Arabidopsis thaliana: one gene and its partners. The protein of the gene in region 2 interacts with the protein of the main gene of each other region in a pairwise test. Each region holds a gene or a part of one and is shown on either strand. Other genes may lie near its edges.

Region 1 (6,598 bases), 1.5 Mb from region 2:
AGTGTTTCAGCAAGAACGGAGACAATTAGGGTTTATCAATTGATACAAGTCGGGACTTTAATCGGAGTTTGAAAACAGAGAGAAAAGCGGCGCGAGCAACCGGACTTGTGAAGGTTTTTTTTTTCTTTTGAATCGGCGTGAAAGGGTTTTAGTTTTAGGGTTGAGAAAACTAAAATAAAAATTGTGTTTATTATATTATACACTCATTAAAAAAAAAAAAATGTGTTCTATCAAAAATGGAAGAAAATAAAACCTGTTCTTTTACGATATTCTCCCTGTAATCACCGTCATACTGTAGTTGAATTTGTCTAATCTCAGTTAATTCCATGAACGGGTTTCTGTTTTTTCTTCTCAAAATGAATTTTTTTTTGTCTAATCACAATTAAGTCCCAGTAGGATTAGTCTAGTCAGATAATTTATGTACATGAATAAATTCTGTTTTTTCTTCTAAAACGTCTTGTAATAACATGTTTTGTGCCTAATAAATTCTACACTAGCAATGAGAACCAAGGAACAAAACAGTTTAATAATAAAAGGAAAATGTCTAATATCAATCCCAAATTCCAATCTAAAAATAGAAAGTTATACAAGGCCTATGCACTTGAGAAAAAAAATCCCAAGGGACTATAGGGATTAAATCGTTGATTTGATCATGACCCTATACATCAATCGACTAAGAGACATAGGCTGCGTAGTAGTAGTAGTAGTAATATAGTAGCTGAACAAAACGGAGTTGATAATATTAAGGGATTTTTCATTTGGATGTCTTTTTTTTTTGGTTTTCTGTTTCTTATAACAAAACTGACACGCGCTTCTTCTTGTTGTGTTTGATGTTTGGATCTGTGAGAACCAGTTTTTACTTCTCCTTCTCCGTTTCTGTTTGGGAGGATGATTCTGGGTGGTGATTGTCTTTTGGCTTGGCTGGGACGACTTTGGCTGGGGTCGAACGCTCTGACTGAGACGAGCGTATCAGGATCTGCATACAGAGAGTGATGATACCTAGACCAAGCGCCGATATCGTGATACCTTTCCATGAAGAAAAGAGTTGTGCCCAGTGTAGGAACTTTATTGCTCCAAGAGTTAGTACGCATGCCCATGATAGAACCACCTGAGAAAAAGATCAAGAGATTTGTGAGTTTATAGATGGAACCAAGAGAATGTTATGAATTTTATAGACTCACCGCAAGGGACTTTATGGGACGGCCAATGTTCTGTTCTTGTTGACCGGGGAAAGTGTCTGCAGCTATGTGTTTGTCTAACAGAGCATCCTGTATCACAGAGACGAGATGAGAGAATACCAAAATGAAAGCTTTTCCAAGCTTTTCTCTATCAAATCTTGACCAAATATATTATTGCCAATAACTGAAACGTGGAAATACCAGTACATCCATAATTTTTACCTTAGCCACAAACTGATCTCTGCACCACTGTGCAATTGCGTCATCTGATTCAGGTAAGTCTTTCATCGAGTGACACTTGATGTGAACATGCACCTTGAAACCAGCAGCAATGGTTTGCGTTAATGGCGCAGGAGGTTTTAAAAGAAAAAGGCTTGGGATGGGATGAGTCCTACGGTTTCTTACACATTATAAAAGTAAAGGTGATATAAAGAGTTATGTTCGTTTCAGTAAATTGGATGGTGATGTGATCCAAGCCAGTGCATACTTTGAAATTTGTTGTGAGAAGAGTGCAAGATTCAACTGCTATACGACCTATTCATATTTTTGCTTGCTTACCACTGAAGGTTGTCCTTTGAATAGTCTTAGCATCGTGGGTGGTGGAGAGGTTTTTGGAATAGTCACTGTCATATCATAAATTGCTGGGACAAATGAACGCATATTACTAACAGCTGACACGAAACCCTGAAACAAAAATACAAGCAAGTCTAGTAATTAGGGCAGAAATCACAATAACAACCACCAAGTCGATCTGATGAAAATGAAACGTATAAAGGCTACCCATGCATTGAGATTTTGGATCATCATAGCAATCATTTTGCTTTTTAAAGGACACAGAGAAGATATCAAGTTGCCCCAGGAATGAACAAAAGAAAAATATTACAACTTACTTTGGTGCGAGGAATCAACACATTTCGAGGGATAGGCAATTCAGAGGAGGCTGCATACTCTTGTGCGGCTTTAAGTTTGGCTTCTGTAAAGCGAGTTCCCTCCACAAAAAGGGCTAACCAGAAAGGTCGAGGGAAGTCGCTCAAGCGCTGAAGACCTGACTGTAAATTTAGACAAACACACATAACTCATGGTCTGGAAATGAAGATTCTGCATTTTTAGGCTAATCCCCTCATGAACGAGGTAGCTGCACGTGCTAATAAGCATTTTACACAGGAGCAAAAACTAAATGAGTTGCACAAGGATACTATAAACCCATACCTTTAGAGTGCTTTCATCCTTGGCCCAATTTCTTTCCAGAAAGAGATACTCCGAGAACCACATTGACCAGCCTATGACCTGTATGTGTGTGAAAATTCTGTTTATGAGTACTATGAATATGTAACAGATAAAAAAGGCGGAGAAGTGTATTAACCTAAAACAATGATTTTTTCTCAAACGCAAAGCCAGGTATCAAATTTCTAACTTATAGAAGAGATTCAGAAATAGAATTAAAGATTACTACTATTTTCTCTCAAATCTAGCAAGCACACAGCAGTAAGCTAAAATATTCACATACTGGAAGGAATTTGGAAGACTTCTTCATTACAGCTAATGCGCTTCCCAGGCAACCTGACCGCTGCAAGGAAAGAAAATATGAAACAATAGATTAAAAGATGTAAACAGCATAACAGGGAGCGTGTTAAGAGAAAATATGATGATGCTATACTCTCTCATATCTCATCAGATGATCACTAGGGACTGTCACCTTCTACCTAAGATAATCTTTCTTAAGTAGATACTTGGAAGCAATACATGGTCCCATTGCAAGTATACATGCTTTCTCATCAAGAAGTCTATTATGTTGATCTCCATTTATGCATTCAAACAAAAACGTAGGAAGATAGATGAAACTGTGAGGTGAAATTATGTACCTGAGCCAGAATCCATCCCACAAGCCAATCAATATCACTTCGGTGATTACAAACGACAAGAGCATGTTCTTTGCCTAGAAAAAAATAGTAGGACAGTCAATGAAGTTACAGATTCGTTCTTACATAGGAATTTTATATCTTGAAGACATCAGAAACTGATTTGATTGCCAATAAGCATATGAACTTACCCATTCGATTGAAGGTCTCATTATCAGCAAACACTTGGATCTAAGGGAAAAGAAACAAGAAATTTGAGAGGAACTCATAGAGTTAGATAAGATAAAACAAAATCCAAGCTTAACAACCATTTAGTAAAAAGGAGAAAGCTTGTGGATACCTTAACTCCAGCCCACCAGTCAACTATCCATACAAGCTCCAACCACAAGGTTTCTGCAACCACCCGGTTAATTTTTCTGTATGTGTTCTTAGACAGTGGTCGAATGAGTACATAGCAAACTGCCTGAAACAACAATATGTAGTAGTAAACATCAAAACTGAAGCAAACGAAGTTGAGAGAAAAAAAGATTCCTTCCTCGATTCAATCAACATAGAAATCAAGATAAATCTGAAGAAAGTGATACTTAATCGCAGAATCAAACAACACTCTATAGCTCAGTGCATGAGCTCCACGAGTCAATTTCGAGCTTATACTCTCATATGCACACTCAGAATTAAGACACAATCACCGACAAAAACGAAAGAATCAAAGTTTCTGGAGAAGGAAACCCTAAAAGCAGTGAATCAAAACAAAAGAAGAAAGGATCTACAATGTAGAACAACAACGGAATCTAAAAAGAGTAACACCAGAAACGAATCAGAAACCAAACCTGAAAGAGATTGACAGCGAGACCAGATATGAAGAAGAGAAGGCCCAAAGGCACGATGACAGCTGCAGCAATCACCATCCTCAAAAAATCCCACCAACAAAAGCTAATGTGAGGAGAGAGTACAAAGAAGAAAACCCAACAAATCGTTCCCCGAGATTTCCAGAAACCAATGAAGAAATATTTTACCCCAGATTTCAAGACAAGTTGCAGAAGTTTTTTAAAAGGGGAAAATAAATAACCCAACCAGAAAAAAAGAGAAAAAAAATCGCAAAATTAACTTTGCGATTTAATGGGAAAATTTTGAGAAGAGTGTTTGTAACTCTGGATTTTTATTGATTGATTGATTATATACGGAGATGATCACGAGGACACATTCGAACACGGCAGAAGCGTTTTTTCTTGTTATTTTGATTTTAGCCCCTCTATTTGTTTTCATACTTCAAAACATCTCCTATCTCTTCGACTTGGTTGGATTGGCCAACTTTGAAGTTTTGAACTATGCAATCAATGGGCAAGGAAAAAAAAAACGTCTGTCGGAAATTGATCGGTATACACTACCAAGATGTGATTACTCCTAATTTTTTAAGTTAGGATTAATTCCCTTTGCATGTGGTAAAAAGTGCTAGCTGGACTTTCCAATTAATTATAATGTTTGTATGGTAAGCTTATATATGGAAATGTAACGTCCAAATATTTCAAATCAACAGATTTATTTCAGGTGAATCCAAAAAAATTGTTACATAATTCTTAACACTCATAGACGACCACCAAAATGGTTTTACTTTTACCAATAAAATGGCCTAGTGGCGGATCTTAGAACCTTAAAGAGAATGTAATTGGAGAAAGGATTAATGTGTTACCCATACCGCTTAATATATATCCTTATTAGTCTGATATGCTACTTGTCACTAACATCGAATCCTTTGTTCATGTCTGGCCCTAGTCTGAAGGTGACTAATATACTAATATTACCGTGGATGTTTAAGTGCTCCACTTTGTTCCATATGTTTTCAATTTTTCCGTTCAATTCTTCCTCTTTTTGCTATTCTCTAGCCGATGCCTTTTGTTTTTTTGCTTGTAAATTAAAGCATGACGTCTTTGTGATTCTATTCACATGGTTTGGTATGGTTCTGATTGTTTATGTGCGGTGTAAAGTATGAGAGTCTTTCATGGTTTGTATAAATATAAACTAAATGATATTTAAGTGCACGTTTGATTCTTTAGTATTCTAATATCGAAATTTCATTTCAGTAAAGTTCAAACATTTTTTAATTTTTTTGTTATTAAATATTTGAAGTTACAAAAGTATTGTTGAAGTGGTTGATCTATCTAACCAAATTTTCTTTAAATATAATGAAGAATCAAAACAAACTAAAGAACAAGTTCATCATCTAGTTATTTTCAGCTGTACTATGCTCACCGCTTTATTCAGATTCTCCAATAAATTTTGCAGCAAAGTGGAAAAGATAACAAAAAAAACAAATAAGGGTTGTTGAGTTTTTAGTTACAATTTTCCCTACGTAAGATCATTTGCCTTAATTCACGTAACATAGCCACATGCTATCATTTCTATGTGATTGTACATATTCATAACAAATAGTTGACTGCCAGACAAAATATGTTAGAAACGTATGCATACACCTTTTTTCTTTTTACAACAATATATATGCATACACTTGACGCATCCTTAAACATATTATGATTTTTCTTTCTTTTTGTCAATGTGGACTAAATTATCCAATTTGAAAAAGAACAATGGGAATCGAACCTGAAATACTGAGGCGCCAACATTTTTACTTATAATTTTAAAAATGATTTATGTAAAACATTGCTTGTAAGTTTTAACTATAGTCTCAAAATGACACCAGAAATTATAGTTAGTAATTGCTCTGTTTTTAATTACTTTTTTCTCGGTTAGAGACTAAATCACTTATTTTGCAGATATTTTTTTGCATTGTATAACCAAACAAAAAATTTAGTTTTGTTCTAGTCTCCTAAATTGTAGCAAAGAACCAGTGGAACAATGACAAACAAAAAAAAAACAGAGAAAGCCTTAGCTTCCTAACTAGTTTTCAGGTGATGTAGAAAGAACTATGAAATTAGTCCGCAAGTCTTGTTGTGAGCTTTTTCTTGGAAGGACGACTTTGTGGGATATTCAACAACGACAGCTTGACTTTATATCTTAGCTAGTGTTCTTCGTTTTGATCAACTGAGAGTGTGTGAGGTCTTCAAGTTTTGTCATTTTATTTTTCAAAGTTAAGTGTTTCTCGATTAGTTGAGGAATAAGATATCAAGAGCTAGAGGGGGGAGATGCTGTTAGAAGATCTCATCGAACGTTGCAATGAATATAACTGAGGAGATTGCAACTGCTTTAGCTTATTTTCACACTGTTTTCCAATTCTCAAACCCTATTTCGATCTCTAAAGTGATGTCTGAATCCACTTGAGTTCCTTAAGCTACTACGATCATCTTTGGCTTGTCTTCATCTTTCTTCTCAGTGATAGTATACGCACACGCTTCCAGCGGCAATCTTTAACTAACAAAACCCATGGAAACATTGATATAACGTAAACAGGAGTCGTTTCTGCTTACATGATTCATAAACATAGCATCATGCTGATTGAGAATTCTGCAAATTATCCATCAAACTGTAGATCGCAGATGAGACACACATGACGCAGAGACAATGCCAATGCCATTTTGGCTTCAGTCTGAAACATTACCATTCAGA
Region 2 (5,327 bases):
CTCAAGGTCTCTGGTACGAGTTCTAGATGATAAGCGACCAACATAGAGGCGAGTGTTTCCATAGCGATCATCATAGCGAGGCATTGTCAAGCTGCAAAATATTTTTAACATAAGCTATTAGGCACATATGTATATATATATATATATATGCCAATCACAAGAAAAAGAATAACAGTATCCTCTTCAAATTATATAAACAAGAAAAAGACCAGAGAGTTAAAACACTACCTCAGACCTAAACATAGAACCCATGTGAATATCTATGATTTTTCAGCAGAACACAAATCCAAAAACAAAGAAACCAAACTGAATAACACATTCAGAGGCGAAAAGAAGAAAATTTCGTGAGGGGAGAATATAAATCTCTAATCAGATTAGACAGAAGGAAACCTATAAAGGAAATCTACGGCGAGGAAACGAGAAACCAATTGAAATCCCTAATCTAGAGAGCGAAGAACAATAAAATCGTAACCCTAAACAGATCCAATTACAAAGATTCTTCCTCGTACCTGGAGAGACGAAGAAGGAGAGTGCAAATACGCAGTAACCCTAATAATTTCGAAACGAAGGAAGTGAACCGCGGATGATACTGCGATTAGTCTTCAACCCCTATCTTATAACTTGGAAACCGACGAGATTCAACGGTAGCGATTTGTTTCAATCAACGGTTTAGATTTCACGGCGAGATAAACGTCGATATTACCGATATAGAAAATAGAAAATTGCACACTTTCCAATTTAGTACTTTTATTGGGCCTTATATCAACTCTAAAGCCCATTAAAGATTTAGCAAACATATGCAATTTCGTATTAATCATAAGTATTAAGTACATCATAATCATTGGTCAAGTTACTCTAATAATTTTCTGTTTTGTAAATCAGCGACGCTTGTTCTTGCTTCCGATCAAGAGTGTGAAGTAGAAGAGAACCCTAAAGAAGAATCCCCAAGCTACAGTGATCCACAAGCAATTCCATTTGCTTATCTCCGTGATTCCTTGCTGTTTCAGTATATCGATTCCCGTCGTTACGCAAGTCTCCGCCGTCACGTTGATCCCCAAAACGCCGCTCATGCTCTTCAGGAGGCTGATTTTCACGGCGGTTGGAACTTGTCCCAGCGGCGAATTGTCGAACATCTGGATCCCTCTGACGAAGCATTTCGTCGGATCTTCGAATTCGTTCTGTAGAACACCTTCGTAAGGGTATTTCACTAGGGAGAGGTAATGGAACCAGATCCAGTAGAGTGGGATTCGATCTCTAGAGATGAAGAATCCGGAGAAGAGGAGGAAATAAGCGAGGATTGCTACAACCACCGTGAATCCGATCATCACGTGTGAGACTACGCCGGATAAGAACGTCACGAAGGAACTTCCGGCCCAAAACGCGGTGAGGATTGTGAAGAAGAAGAAGAGGAATCCCTCGGAGCCTCCGGCGAGTCCTACGGCCGAGAATGTTGAGGCGGCGAATGCGGCGGATAAGATTATGAGAGCAGGGATGGAGATTATTGTGTGAGCGAGGACGTATGATGATCGCCGGTAAGCGTTGTAAGCTGTTTCTCTCATGAATATGTAACGTTCCTGTAGAAAGACTGGTATTGCTTCTGCACATGTGTAGAATGTTGTGGACATTGCGAATGCGAAGAACCCTAAGCGTTCTTGTATACCTCTTGGTGAATTGTCTAGTTTCCAGAATATTGTGGCTAGGATCATTCCGGTGACTAGTACAGCTCCTAGGCGGATTCCGAATAGCTCTGGTTGTCTTCTTGAGTTTAGTATAGATCGTTTACCAATTACGAGCATTTCAGTCCAGAATGGGTTTGCAAAGGTTTGAAATGATGATCTTAGGTTTGTTGCTCCGGAGACAAGCTTACCTCTCGAGATACTTGCGCTGATTGCATCTTTGAGAGATACATTGGTGTTTCTTCTGCTCTGGCTTGAGGTTTGCTTTGCTCGCCATTGCTTGTGGAACTCGACTAAGGATTTCGTTCCTTCTGGCGAATCTTCCAGCTCACGGATAAGATCGAGTGCAAACTCCGGCTTGTTCTCGTTTTCAGGAATTGGGTGACCGAATTCTGAGAAGAACTGAGGGAGGTGTGTCGGGGAGCCGCTGTAAACGGTGTTTCCCCTAGATAGGAAGATTAACTTATCGAGTAATCCCAAGATTCTGTAACTCGGCTGATGGATGGACATGATAACTATGCTGCCGCTTTGTGCGATTCTCTGAAGCACTTTGACAACCATGTATGCACTGGTAGAGTCAAGACCAGAAGTTGGCTCATCGAGAAAGAGAATAATCGGGTCATGGATTATATCGGTTCCAATTGAGACCCTTCTCCTTTCTCCTCCAGACACACCTCTGTGTCCCTCATCACCGATCACGGTTTTTGCTGCGTTCCTCAGGCCGAGCTGATCAATCAGAGCTTGAACCCGTGCCTTCTTTTTCTTCTTAGAAAGCGAGCTTGGAAGCCTGAACTCAGCAGAAAACATCAACGTCTCTTCCACGGTGAGCATCGGGAAGAGAAGATCATCTTGCATCACATAAGCTGATATGACTTTATGCAGGCTAGATTCAAGAACTTCCCCATTTAAAGTAATATCACCGCGTAGGCTCTCTTTTGAAATCCGATTGGCTAATGCATCGATAAGCGTTGATTTCCCTGACCCGCTCGCTCCAAGAACAGCCATCATCTCTCCTTCCCGGGCTTCACCAGAAATACCATTCAGGAGCACCTTAGTATTCATCTCCATATCATTACCATCAAAAGGTGAATTCCCACAACAAGGAAAGGGCTTAAACTTCTTCTTGATCTTCACGCTGTAAGTCAAGTCTTTGAAGGAAAGAACAAACGGAGAAGAAGAAGGCACACGAGAAGACGGAACCGAGGACCAGAAATTGGACGCAACCGCAATATCCATAGCCCGACTCTGGTCATCCCCCTCATCTTCCACACTCATGAGAAGTTCTGCAAGTGTGACAGACACCCGCGCAGTGTCTCTGTGACATCTCTGAAGCTCCACTGACTTGTGGATATTGTAAAACAGAGGGAGGCCATCGCCATTGACCCGTTTGGCCGGAGATAATATACCGAACAAACCAGACATCACGTGAATTATTGTCTGGTTAATGTTTTGGCCTCAGGTAATGTGTCTAAAGGTCTTACCCACAGAACAATTTTGATCGACTTTATAGGATATTTGGATGGGAGAATGAGGGAGAAACTTGTCAATTAGTTTGGTGATCTCTAAGTATCTAACTTTGAGTTGTTCTGGGTTTTGTAGCTTTTCATATTTACATGTACATAGCTTTTGTTTATATTTTCGTATGTATATAAATTGTAAGTTACGAGTAGGTGAGGAGTTGGGCAAATCCATCCACATTTTTCCGTTATTGTATGTATTTTTTCTTGGGGCTTAAGGTACTCTGTAAAAAAATCCTATTTTAGGTGGTTTTTGTTTACAAAGTGGAAAAGTTTACTCCATGGAATTACGTGTTTATTTCATCTGTATATAATGTATCCGGAGTTTATGGAATTGCAATAAGTATAGCTTATGTAACATGTCAGGAATAGAATTTCTCCTTGCACATGTATGTATGTCACGAATTTCTTAATCTCCTTTTGTTTATTATAGTCACGACCCGCGAGTTTTCTATAATCACTTACAAGCTCTAAGACTTGTTTTTTGGTGCGTGAGACAATAATTGACTAGGGGTTAATTGGATTTCCAACTATTTTGAATCAGTGAATATCTTCGTACAGTAACTAAAGCACGCTACGAATATACTGTTTGTTGTATCAAAATCAAATCATCCAACATTTTGAACATTTATTTAGCGGTTACTAATTAACTTTTGCAATTAGTTAATATCAAACACATAAGATATTCTCATAATTAGGATTTGGCATGGTACTATACTAAGATTGTACAAAGGCATGCCATTATGCATAATGAAGCTAATGGCGTGTTATCTTTCAATTGTTTGTTTAATCATGCACACCATTTTCGTCATATAAAAAAGCGTAAGTGAAGCCTATTTCATTTCAAAAAAAAAAAAAAAAAATTATAAGGATCATTGATTTGTACTTTTGTAGTTGGTGAAACAAAAAGGAAATGAATGTGAAAATTATGGCAGAAAAACGTGCAGATGTTCGGCTTTGATGTTGTAGAGCTACACACGAAAACACAACAAAAATTGTCATTAGGAATATGTAATGGAAACTTTATATAACGTGATGAGTTAGATTTAGGCATATGGAAGTTTGGTGTAGCTGTTATATCTGTTTTCTTGATTATTTTACTTTTGATAACCCATTTTTACAAGAGTTGTCAAGAAATAATAGAAAACTATATACTTAGTATCATCAGCTTGTCTCTATCAAGTTGAACTAATGATTTATCCAATGAAATACATAACATTTCTTATGGAATGTACACTTTCACACAGAGAATGAGTTTATATTATTCTGGTTAAGTTTAGTAAGACTTTCTTTATGTAAAGATTGTTTTGAAATTTTGTGTTTGGTAGAGGATATTTTGCTAAGTTTCCCAACATAATTTTGTTAACACTTTGAGATTTATCAGGTAGGACTAGATCAAGGAATTGAATCCCTCAGGTTTGAGATTTCGTTCAATGCTAATATTTGTTAAATCGTACGAGAAATTTTTACTCTCGTCTGTTGAGTAACAGCATGAGAGAGTTTTCATTCAAAAAAAAAAAAAATAGCATAAGAGCATATCTCTAGGCATAACATTTTGTGGGCTATTAAGGGGCCAAACTTGGGCATCCAATTGTTAAAAGCCCATATTTTGTAAGCCTCGAGGAGTTTTTTTTGTTTGTTTCCACATTTGCCTAAAGTTTTGTATATGTTCATTGAATAATATACAAATCAAACGCAAATCACATTAATGATCCCCTCAAGAATATATATATAAAAAATTGCATATATTATTAAACAATTAGTGAAATTACTTAATTAGATTATCTGATAATCACATATAGATTTTAGAAGCGAAACATATATATTTGCTCTATAACTAAAACAAAATAAAAATAAAAAAGAGAGCGAAGGATTGCATCAAGTAATCGCCGTGTAACTAACTACTTTTGCATTCACCATCGCTCTTACGTTTGAATCTATCCAGATCCAAAGCTCTTCTTCTTCCCGGCAATTCTGAGATCTCATTTTCACCGGCGACGAGCTTTAATCGGAGAACGATGAAGCAGCTTCACAAGCAAATGAGCTCGAAGCGTGATGAAGAAACCATTCCCATGAGCCAATCCAGTCCTTACTCTCCCAAAACTTTAAAGCATCCCAGATCTCTTCCCAGATC
Region 3 (5,509 bases), on a different chromosome or scaffold from region 2:
TACAATTACAAATTCTATACGTAATTTGGAGTGAGACTCACTTTGGGATCTTATCCGAAGAACCATTCTCCGGTTGCCTGAAAAATTCAACCTTAACACCCTAAGCTTCAATATCCGTGGTGAAAGGAAAAACCCAGAAATGATAAAGATGTAAAAGAGCTGTCAGATAAAAAAACTAACGCAATAGGGACGTTTAAGACCGTGCTGGCCGAGGTCAAGCACCGGAGCTTGGGGACGAAGCAGCGATGCGACGGTTGTGTCGCCAGAAGCTTCTTACCTAACAGAGAAGACGTTAGAGGAATCCGAGAAGAAGACGAGGGAGATCCATTCTGTCTCGAAACAAAGATCCGAGGATTAGAGAGCGTCAAAGGGATAAAGGAGACTGTGTACGACGCCATTTTCACTCTTGAGGAATCAAAAGCTTTTGGTCGGGCTTTGGGTGAGTCAGTGAGATAGGCGATTATTACTCAGCTATTTTGCAAATGCGCCCCCCCCAGTTTATATAATTTATGAAATTTCGACTAGTATGAATAAACTTGAACTCATAACTCCCAAATCTTAAATTTCAATCTCAGGACAAACGAACCAACAAGTATAGTGGAACAAATTCTAATCCTAACTCACCGTGCCTAGCACAAATCTACAAGTGAGTTTATCTTTGAGTTTATCAGTAACCAAGAATCAGATTAATAGTATAAGTCGTGTAATATGCTCTCTCATCCTTTGAGTTTCAAACCAAGTCAAGTTGATGAGCTTTTCCTGTCTCTCCTTATGAGCTCCAAGACCATTTCGTTCCATGTATCGACTGGTCCTGGCATGCACCAGTGCAAGCAGTCCTGAGGTGGAGGCCGTCCGTCTGGTCCCCGTTTAGTGATCTTGTTAGGGTCAGGACTTCTGAATGGACCAGGATGACCATCATGGCGATATCCAAATGCCTCTGTGATATCCATCAGCTTTAGTTTTAGCTTCAAATTCTCCGCGACTTTATCGACGGCTTGGTTATATCCTGTCGCTTGCTTCTCATGCATTATCTCTGTGAATCCGTTTTTCACTAGCTTCCCTGGAAGGATGGGTTCTTCTTTCCCCGTGCATGATCCACCTGTGTTCCAAGCACCACCTTCGTAATGATCAGGTGAGAATGTTCTCACAATGGTCAAACCGCTGTAGTTCGGGTGTGTAGCCATGGACTTAAGGATTGTTTCAACTGATATTCCAAATGCATCCACGTTATTGACTTTCATGGGTTTTGATTTGTCTGGCCACCATAATTGGCCTCCCACGATCTCTTCTTTCAATATGTAGACAGACTGCTTTGCAAACCAGTGCCCTGATGAGAGGACAACCACGTCGAATTTCGGGATAGCTTCCATTATGCGCTCATCAGGAAGATCCAGCTTTAGTTTTGTGACACCTTCAGGAGCATAATCGAATTTTTCGTTGAACTGATGAACAAGCCAAGATGACCAAATACGGGCAATCATTACTGATGATTGCTTAAAATACCATCTCTGCATCTTTCGGCTCCCACGATTGACTGGTGTTTCAACCTGAAAACAGAAACCTACTTTAATATAATACATACGATCTCCTGAAGCTGAATAAAGCAACACAATAGATCCCTTATACCGGTTTTCACCATTAAATTGAATTACTTGCCTGCCAAAGAAGGCACAACATGGACTCCATCTGATTACGAGCTACTGAATCTCCTATAAAGGCCAGTGTCTTGCCTTTCATAAGTTCAAGAAATTTTCTGGCATCAAACCGAGGAAGCTCACACTGAGACGGTTTCCATCTCCAGTTCTCATATCCCTTGTCAGGTCTTCCATTTCCCTGGCAATTCTGCATCTGCGTCAGGACAGGGCAAGAGTTGTTCGTGTAGAGAGGTCCCCCAGGATCATAAAACCAACTACCTTGATACAAATCACACTCTACAAGCAATCAAAGATTTGAGTAAGCGACAAACTCATAACAGAAATATAAAACATCGAACAGCTAGAATCATGAGAAGCAAGGGAAACTGACAAGAACAGATCTATGAAACTGCTCTTCTTATTCCAATTCACCAAAACAGGTAGAACTCTCAACCAAATGCCCACAAAGCCTAGAAACTCTAACCCCTAAAACAAAATGCTGAGACCACCTTACAAGCCCAGCACTCACTATCTGCTCCCTAACCAAGTTTTTACTCTAATCTGCTATATTCAGTCCTCGGCTAGAATAATTACAGTAGGTCTATAGCTAAGAGTTTAGCCGCTGAATTTCTTTAAAACTTCTCAGAAACTTACGCCTTTCCATAGAAATGCAAAACTAAATGTTCTATAACATTCCCACACTAGCTTAGTCTTTGTTTATTGAAATTTAAGCTACCATAACTCAAAATGTTCCAAATACGACAAAAGCTACGGAAATAAGCGTTTAAAAGATAACAACAGTACCTGGTTCTGCTGAAGCAGTTTCAGAGACATCATCTGGAGGAGATGATGCACTTGGAGTGTCTTCAGCCTTGGAAACATTGGTTTCACGTTCACCTGATTGAACATCAGTCTTTTCAGTTATATCCGAAGAAACCAAATCCTCTTTTTCTTGTGTCAAAGGTGTCTCCAACTTCCTATCACTACTGAAATCTGGAGGTGGTATACTTTTGCTAACAACAACAGGTAAGCCAGAGCTAGAATCAGAAGTCAGATTTTTATCAAACGCATTGATGTCACTACTCTTCTGAAGGATATTGACAGTATGGTTGCTCAAAGATAAAGGGACATGAACTTGTTCAGGATTCCCTATCCCATAAAATATGCCACCAACTGAAGAACTATTCGGATACGAAAGACGAAGCAACAATCCGAAAACAAAGAATGATGCCAAACCACCAATAGCAATTGCAACTGTAGACACTTTCCGAGGAAATCCAGCCGCAGCTAATATAGAATTATTCCTAGGAGAACCAAAAGCCATGGTTTCTTCACTAGTAGATACCCAGAACCAATACAAGCAACAAGAACCAGAGCTTATAGGTGATAATTCAATATCAACATTATTCAAAATGTTATCTTCAGGGGCATGCAATACGCAAGTGAACTAAGTGAATCTGTTACTTGATTCAATCTTCCACTGGATCACAGATAAGATTTCACCTTCTTCAGGATCTGGAATCTGGAAGAGCAACACTATGAGCAAACATACTTAAAGGCGAAAGAAGAAAACAAGATGATCGATCTAATAAATCATCAAATAGCACAAATCCAGAATATAAATGTGAATCTAACTCAGATTCAGCTCAAATCATTACGTATTCAGATTTTCAGAAAAAAAACAAACAATTTTTCAGAAGATTATCTTCTTCACTAAGCAGATCCAAACGAAGAAGAAGAAGAAAGAGAATCTACGAACCTAGAGAAAATGATCCTTGTTGTCTTCTTGTAGGTGAAGCGAGCTCAGAAGATTCAGAAGAAATCCACAACAGTGAAGACGCGAAATCAAAAAATTAAACAAAGGTTAGTTATAGTTTTATTAGTTAATTGTTTTCCGGAAATAATCAAACGAATTTAGTGGTAATTTATTCCTTAAATTAATCATTTGTTTCTTCTTCCGGAGCCCATTAATGCCGTCTGTGATCTCATCGGCGCGTATACGACCACGCGATGATGTAAAGTTACGAAACTACCCTTCGGTCAACACCACCATAACATTGCGTATATTTCGAATTTTGTAACATTGCTAATATTTCGAATTGTTTGTTTGTCACTTCGCGTTATATGACACAACGATTGTTGTTTTCACATAAAAAAAAAAACCCTACTAGTCATCATCTAATGTAACACTCCAGCATATGACAAAATCGCCGAAATATTATTTATTATTATATAGGTAAAATAGAATTACAATATGCTCTTCTATAGTATATAGTAATCTAAAAAGTTGCATCATAAAATAAATTATTAGAAAAAGATCGAAAATAGGTGATATATCATATCATCATTACAATAGGTGTGAGTCGTCCGTCGCCTCTGACTGGTCCTTCCTTTCGGGCACGATAGCAGGCATAAGCCACTATCAGTGCGATGATGATTAATACACCGACTGAAATTCCAGAAATTGCGATAAACTTCATTGGATCAGTCCCCATGTTTGTTTTACCACACGCACCCAGAAAAAAGTTTATTTCTACTGTTTTTATTTTTTGTCATGTCTTCTTGTGACACAGTATGTTTACATTTATTTACAATTATTTACATTTCTGTTAATAAAGTCCGTGAAATTTGTAAGTTTTACATTTTATTATTTAAGAAAATTAACAAGGATGAACTGGAAAATTACACTTTAAAGAATATTAATTAGGAAGAAATAGAAATTATACATTTTTATGGTACTTTGTTGATCTTCATACCATCAAACTGGAAATTGTACATTTTAATAGAAAATTAACTATGAAAGAATAGAAAATTTACATACGTGAGCATGTAGTAATTTAAGGCTATCACAAAAATTCGACATTTTATTTCAGAATATTCTAAAATTTTGATATTTAGGTAGCACATTATCAAATATTGTAAAATAAAATAATGGCCAGGCTTATACGATTTGAGATTTGATTCGTATCCATGAATGCCATACTCGATGAGTAGTTACTGTTGTGTGTGTATTATAGTTTTTGCTAGTTAATGTTGTTTTTACTCCTACCGCATAAAATGAAATAATGAATCATCTATATATACATTTTTGCAGCCATTTTGTGAAATAAATCTTAGAGTTGGGACTTATTTACTAGGCTGCCATTGAGTATTAATTATTGATTTTTTTCCAGCAATAAATTGATTAATAAACTAAAAATATTCCAAATATATTCAGCAACTATTTAAAACAAAAAATGTTTGACAAACAAAAATATAATTGCAATCCCTTAAAATGAGCAAAACCCACCTAAATATATTCTTTATCTATCCAATAAATCTTTTTTCTCCAAAATTTGAACTAGATTTTGGCAACTATTTTAAACAAATATTTGTTTGACAAACCAAAATACAATTGCAATCCCGTAAAATATTTCTTTTAATTATATATTTAAATTAGCGGTGTACCGCGGTTTTTTTTTACGGGGCGGATTTGGCGAGACGGGTTTGGTAAGACGTTATTTAATAACAATTGTAAACTATAAAATAAAAATAAATAGATTTAATTTGCAAACTTTTATATATACTAATTTAAAAAATAAGTTGTCCGCGGGTTAAAATCTAGTCATGGTTATTTTAATTAGGTGAAATCAGCCTTGGATAATTTTAAAAACTAAAACCAATTGTTTGTAAGTAAAGAATTAATAAATTAGTGTAATTTCTAAGTTTTCAAATTATTATATAAATAAAATAAATAAATATGTATTTATAAGCACAAAAAAAGGAAATGGTGCGTATTCCTGGTACAATAGTTACTTGTCAGATCCCCATTTAAAACATCTCAAATTGGTTGAAAAAAAGTCACCAAAGAAAAACTAGATTAGCATCAAATGTTT
Region 4 (4,326 bases), on a different chromosome or scaffold from region 2:
CATACTTTGTAAAGCTGGAAGAGTTGATGAAGCTCTTGGCATTGTGAGGAGCATGGATCCAAGCATTTGCAAGCCGACCACTTTTATCTATAGTGTGCTTGTACATACTTATGGAACTGAGAACCGGCTTGAAGAGGCGGTTGATACTTTCCTCGAGATGGAAAGAAGTGGAATGAAAGCCGATGTAGCAGTTTTCAATTCATTGATCGGTGCATTTTGCAAAGCAAATAGGATGAAGAATGTGTATAGGGTTTTGAAAGAAATGAAGAGTAAAGGTGTGACGCCTAACTCCAAGTCATGTAACATCATTCTACGCCATCTAATAGAACGAGGGGAGAAAGACGAAGCTTTTGATGTCTTTAGGAAGATGATTAAAGTGTGTGAACCAGATGCAGACACTTACACGATGGTGATCAAGATGTTTTGTGAAAAGAAAGAGATGGAGACAGCGGATAAAGTGTGGAAATACATGAGGAAGAAAGGGGTGTTCCCTAGTATGCATACATTCTCGGTTCTTATTAATGGGTTGTGCGAGGAGCGTACCACTCAGAAAGCTTGTGTTTTGTTAGAGGAGATGATCGAGATGGGGATTCGACCATCGGGTGTAACGTTTGGTAGATTAAGACAGCTGCTTATCAAAGAAGAGAGAGAAGATGTGCTCAAGTTCCTTAATGAGAAGATGAACGTTTTGGTCAATGAGCCGTTGTGTGATTGACTTTCTTAGATTTCCTGTGAACCACAGATTAGTACGCTAACAACAGCTGATCCTAAGCATTTGGCTCAGGCTCCATTTACCTTGGTAAAGTTGTAATTTAAATTGGAATCAGCAATTGTTGCGGTTTCGATACATGAGATATTAAAATATAGATGATACAAACCATTTGATGTGTCTGGTTGCGGATGATACGATGTCGAGGCCAAAAGACACAATTCAGTTTCTCCAAGAACATAAGACACAACTAAAATGATTATCTCTATGATTATAAGCTGCAAAGGAAACAGACCTAATACTCACATCAAGCATAAGATGTGGATTTTGAATTTAGGGTTTCTAAGTATCACAATTCATGATGTTGAAAGTGTTTTTGCATCTTCAAGTGCCAAACAAATCTAAGTCCAGAATAATAAGCCGTATCAATTCCATTATCAGGTTCAGTGTCTCTTAGACTTTGACTCGGTTTTGGATAGCATGTATCCAGAGATCTTGTTCACCTCGTACAATAGCCCAGCAGAGAACAGGAAACTGCAGGCAGATCAAGAAACAGCATCACAATCACCACACCGCTTTTAGCAAGAGAGGAATGAAGTAATTAAACAGGGTAAATGGATATACCAAGTAGAACTAGTGAATTTCCACTTACCAGGTTGTGATACAAACCCGATGAACCGTGCCAGCAGCGATAAGAGCTATGATTTCTGCAAGAATGACTGCCATGGAAACAAAAATTGGCTTCAATACATTGCAAACCCTTGTTGAGTAATGAGTATACCCACTTTCACACAGCAGAAGCAGGAGGGGGCAAACAAATTCGAGCCATTTATCACTGTGATTCTTATATAGGTGATACAGAAAAAGACATAAGAATGAAAAAAATTTGGTTCCAACAACTGATTCACTAAAAGAGTATTTGTAACACATAAAAGTAAGAGTTTTCGTAATATGTTATCAGAAAGTAAACTTAGAGCATCATCATCAAAGATTCAAAAATTCCACTCTTAAGCCCTCAAACTTCTGAAGTGGAAGACAAAATGGGGTAGAGTAGACACCCAATGGTTTTGATCGTATGAACAAATTTGATTTCATGAAGAAGCAAGGACATACCTGCACCCCAACCACTCTTGATGCCAGAAGATTCCTGAAAATTTCCAATGAACTGAAAGTAAAAGAAACCGCATCAACCAAACTGTCAACAACAAATGTAGATGAATTCGAGAAGAAAACAAAAGATCTCAAATTTAACGACACAGATCAACATTGGAGTTGTAAAGGTAGTGCATTTCCATGAAGACGAGATCAAGTTGAGGAATTCTAAGGAACTTACAGTGAGAGAAAACAAAAAGAGGAGAGAGCTTGTGAATCCACCAAGGATCGTGAACAGCTCTGAAGAAGCTAATTTTCCTCTGTAAATTTCCTGAAGCGAGAGGATCACTGTAAACACAATAAGAGACCCTAACATTGATGTTCCAACAGCTCCTGCCATGCTTCTAAATCCAAACTAAACAATCAAATTAAGACCGTAACAGATAATCAGACACGAATTCGTACAAAACTGATCGATTGATCCACTGGTCGGAAAACGAGAAATCAACAGATAGAAGAATGTGATGAGTTACCTTGAAAGCCCTAAAGATCAGATCTTCTCCTCACGCTCGTCACTGCCACAGTTCCACTTCGAAGACCGGCAAATCGGAAACAAAGGAGATCGAGAAGAGATTTTAAGAAATGGGAAAATTGGGAATTCGCATTGACCATAAAATACATGTTTATCGTATATATTACATATATACCCTGACGGACCAGTCGCGGTTTCAAACGCTGTCGTTTTATACAAACAACTGACGTAGTATTGTACATGCCACTTGAGTTTGGGTTTAATTAATAAACCAATGCAGAATACCAAACGTAGCATTGTACCGGGTTTGAGGTTTTGCTTGCATTCACTGATTCATAAACCCTAAACCCTACTGTTGCTTGAACTGGAAGTACAACTTACCGTCGAATCAACCGACGATGAGATTACTACTTCCAAATCTCCTTCTACTTCTTCCGGCTACCTTCTCCGTCGAAGGCCATTATCCACCGCCGCATCTCTGCTTACAAAGTTACAAGTACTATCTCAACAGCAGAGTCTAACCCCTCTAATCTTCCATGCCGATTACTCTCAATTGTCTCCGAACCAAATTGGCAGAACAATCCATCTCTAAAATCTCTTACCCCTTCTATACACCTTCTCATGTCTCTTCTCTGTTTTCACTCAATCTTGATCCTCAGACAGCTCTCAGTTTCTCGGATTGGATCTCTCGGATACCAAACTTCAAGCACAACGTTACTTCATACGCGTCTTTGGTTACTCTTCTCTGCAGCCAGGAAATACCTTATGAGGTGCCTAAGATCACGATCTTAATGATAAAGAGCTGCAATTCAGTGCGAGACGCTTTGTTTGTTGTTGATTTCTGTAGGACAATGCGTAAAGGTGATAGCTTCGAGATTAAATATAAACTTACTCCTAAATGCTACAATAATCTGTTGAGTTCATTAGCTAGATTTGGATTAGTCGAAGAAATGAAGAGACTTTATACTGAAATGTTGGAGGATTTGGTTTCTCCAGACATATACACGTTTAACACATTGGTTAATGGGTATTGTAAGCTTGGATATGTAGTAGAAGCAAAGCAGTATGTGACTTGGCTTATTCAAGCTGGATGTGATCCTGATTATTTCACATATACTTCTTTTATTACCGGACATTGTCGAAGAAAAGAAGTCGATGCGGCTTTTAAGGTTTTTAAGGAGATGACTCAGAACGGTTGCCATAGAAATGAGGTTTCTTACACTCAGCTTATATATGGTCTATTTGAAGCAAAGAAGATCGATGAAGCTTTGAGCTTATTGGTGAAAATGAAAGATGACAATTGTTGTCCTAATGTTCGAACATACACAGTGCTTATAGATGCTTTGTGTGGATCAGGACAGAAGTCAGAAGCTATGAATTTGTTTAAGCAGATGTCAGAGAGTGGCATTAAGCCTGATGATTGTATGTATACTGTGCTTATTCAGAGTTTTTGTAGTGGAGATACACTTGATGAAGCAAGTGGATTGCTAGAACATATGTTGGAGAATGGGTTGATGCCAAATGTTATTACATACAATGCATTGATCAAAGGTTTTTGTAAGAAGAATGTGCACAAAGCAATGGGACTGCTTAGTAAGATGCTAGAGCAGAATTTGGTTCCAGACTTGATAACTTATAATACATTGATCGCTGGACAGTGTAGCTCTGGTAATTTAGATAGTGCATATAGATTGCTTAGTTTGATGGAAGAAAGTGGATTGGTTCCAAACCAGCGTACAGTATGAGGAATATCGTTAAGTGAGAAGATTTGTAATGGTCTTCTTAGATGTTACTACAAGCTGCAAAAGTATGAGGAAGCTGCAAAAGTTGTGGAAGATATGATATGTAATGGTCATTCACCACAACTAGAGTTTTGCAAAATGTTGATTTGCAAGCTGTGTGAAGAAGGAGAAAAAGAGAGAGTCAACTCGGTTTTCGAAAAACTGCTTCGATGTGGATATTGCGATGATGAAATCGCTTGGAAAATCCTCAT

Evidence for each region.
Region 1: the proteins of ABCG20 (region 2) and LPAT2 interact in a protein complementation assay, tested with the Arabidopsis thaliana proteins (one large-scale study listed by BioGRID).
Region 3: the proteins of ABCG20 (region 2) and TBL18 interact in a protein complementation assay, tested with the Arabidopsis thaliana proteins (one large-scale study listed by BioGRID).
Region 4: the proteins of ABCG20 (region 2) and AT1G77350 interact in a protein complementation assay, tested with the Arabidopsis thaliana proteins (one large-scale study listed by BioGRID).

Annotation. Positions count from the first base shown.
Region 1 is NC_003074.8:21,347,098-21,353,695, reverse strand, and holds LPAT2 (lysophosphatidyl acyltransferase 2), read right to left. Parts: upstream 4,314-6,598; 5' UTR 3,946-4,313; coding exon 3,868-3,945; intron 3,501-3,867; coding exon 3,378-3,500; intron 3,269-3,377; coding exon 3,229-3,268; intron 3,115-3,228; coding exon 3,041-3,114; intron 2,746-3,040; coding exon 2,686-2,745; intron 2,466-2,685; coding exon 2,388-2,465; intron 2,228-2,387; coding exon 2,069-2,227; intron 1,863-2,068; coding exon 1,737-1,862; intron 1,494-1,736; coding exon 1,401-1,493; intron 1,269-1,400; coding exon 1,182-1,268; intron 1,109-1,181; coding exon 857-1,108; 3' UTR 503-856; downstream 1-502. UniProt on the Arabidopsis thaliana protein: Converts lysophosphatidic acid (LPA) into phosphatidic acid by incorporating acyl moiety at the 2 position. Has preference for C-18-CoA substrates compared to C-16-CoA substrates. Required for female but not male gametophyte development.
Region 2 is NC_003074.8:19,836,424-19,841,750, forward strand, and holds ABCG20 (ABC-2 type transporter family protein), read right to left. Parts: upstream 3,561-5,327; 5' UTR 3,099-3,560; coding exon 879-3,098; 3' UTR 725-878; downstream 1-724. Other genes in the region: RS2Z32 (RNA-binding (RRM/RBD/RNP motifs) family protein with retrovirus zinc finger-like domain-containing protein), read right to left, coding at 1-84; UXS1 (UDP-glucuronic acid decarboxylase 1), read left to right, coding at 5,212-5,327.
Region 3 is NC_003075.7:12,967,636-12,973,144, reverse strand, and holds TBL18 (TRICHOME BIREFRINGENCE-LIKE 18), read right to left. Parts: upstream 3,587-5,509; 5' UTR 3,394-3,586; exon of another isoform or gene 3,157-3,393; 5' UTR 2,959-3,156; coding exon 2,439-2,958; intron 1,932-2,438; coding exon 1,657-1,931; intron 1,548-1,656; coding exon 741-1,547; 3' UTR 501-740; downstream 1-500. Other genes in the region: AT4G25370 (Double Clp-N motif protein), read right to left, coding at 42-77, 181-398. UniProt on the Arabidopsis thaliana protein: May act as a bridging protein that binds pectin and other cell wall polysaccharides. Probably involved in maintaining esterification of pectins. May be involved in the specific O-acetylation of cell wall polymers.
Region 4 is NC_003070.9:29,068,372-29,072,697, reverse strand, and holds AT1G77350 (keratinocyte-associated-like protein), read right to left. Parts: upstream 2,474-4,326; 5' UTR 2,335-2,473; intron 2,217-2,334; 5' UTR 2,202-2,216; coding exon 2,043-2,201; intron 1,875-2,042; coding exon 1,823-1,874; intron 1,429-1,822; coding exon 1,362-1,428; intron 1,244-1,361; coding exon 1,153-1,243; 3' UTR 799-1,152; downstream 1-798. Other genes in the region: APPR6 (Tetratricopeptide repeat (TPR)-like superfamily protein), read left to right, coding at 1-715; AT1G77340 (Pentatricopeptide repeat (PPR) superfamily protein), read left to right, coding at 2,870-4,078.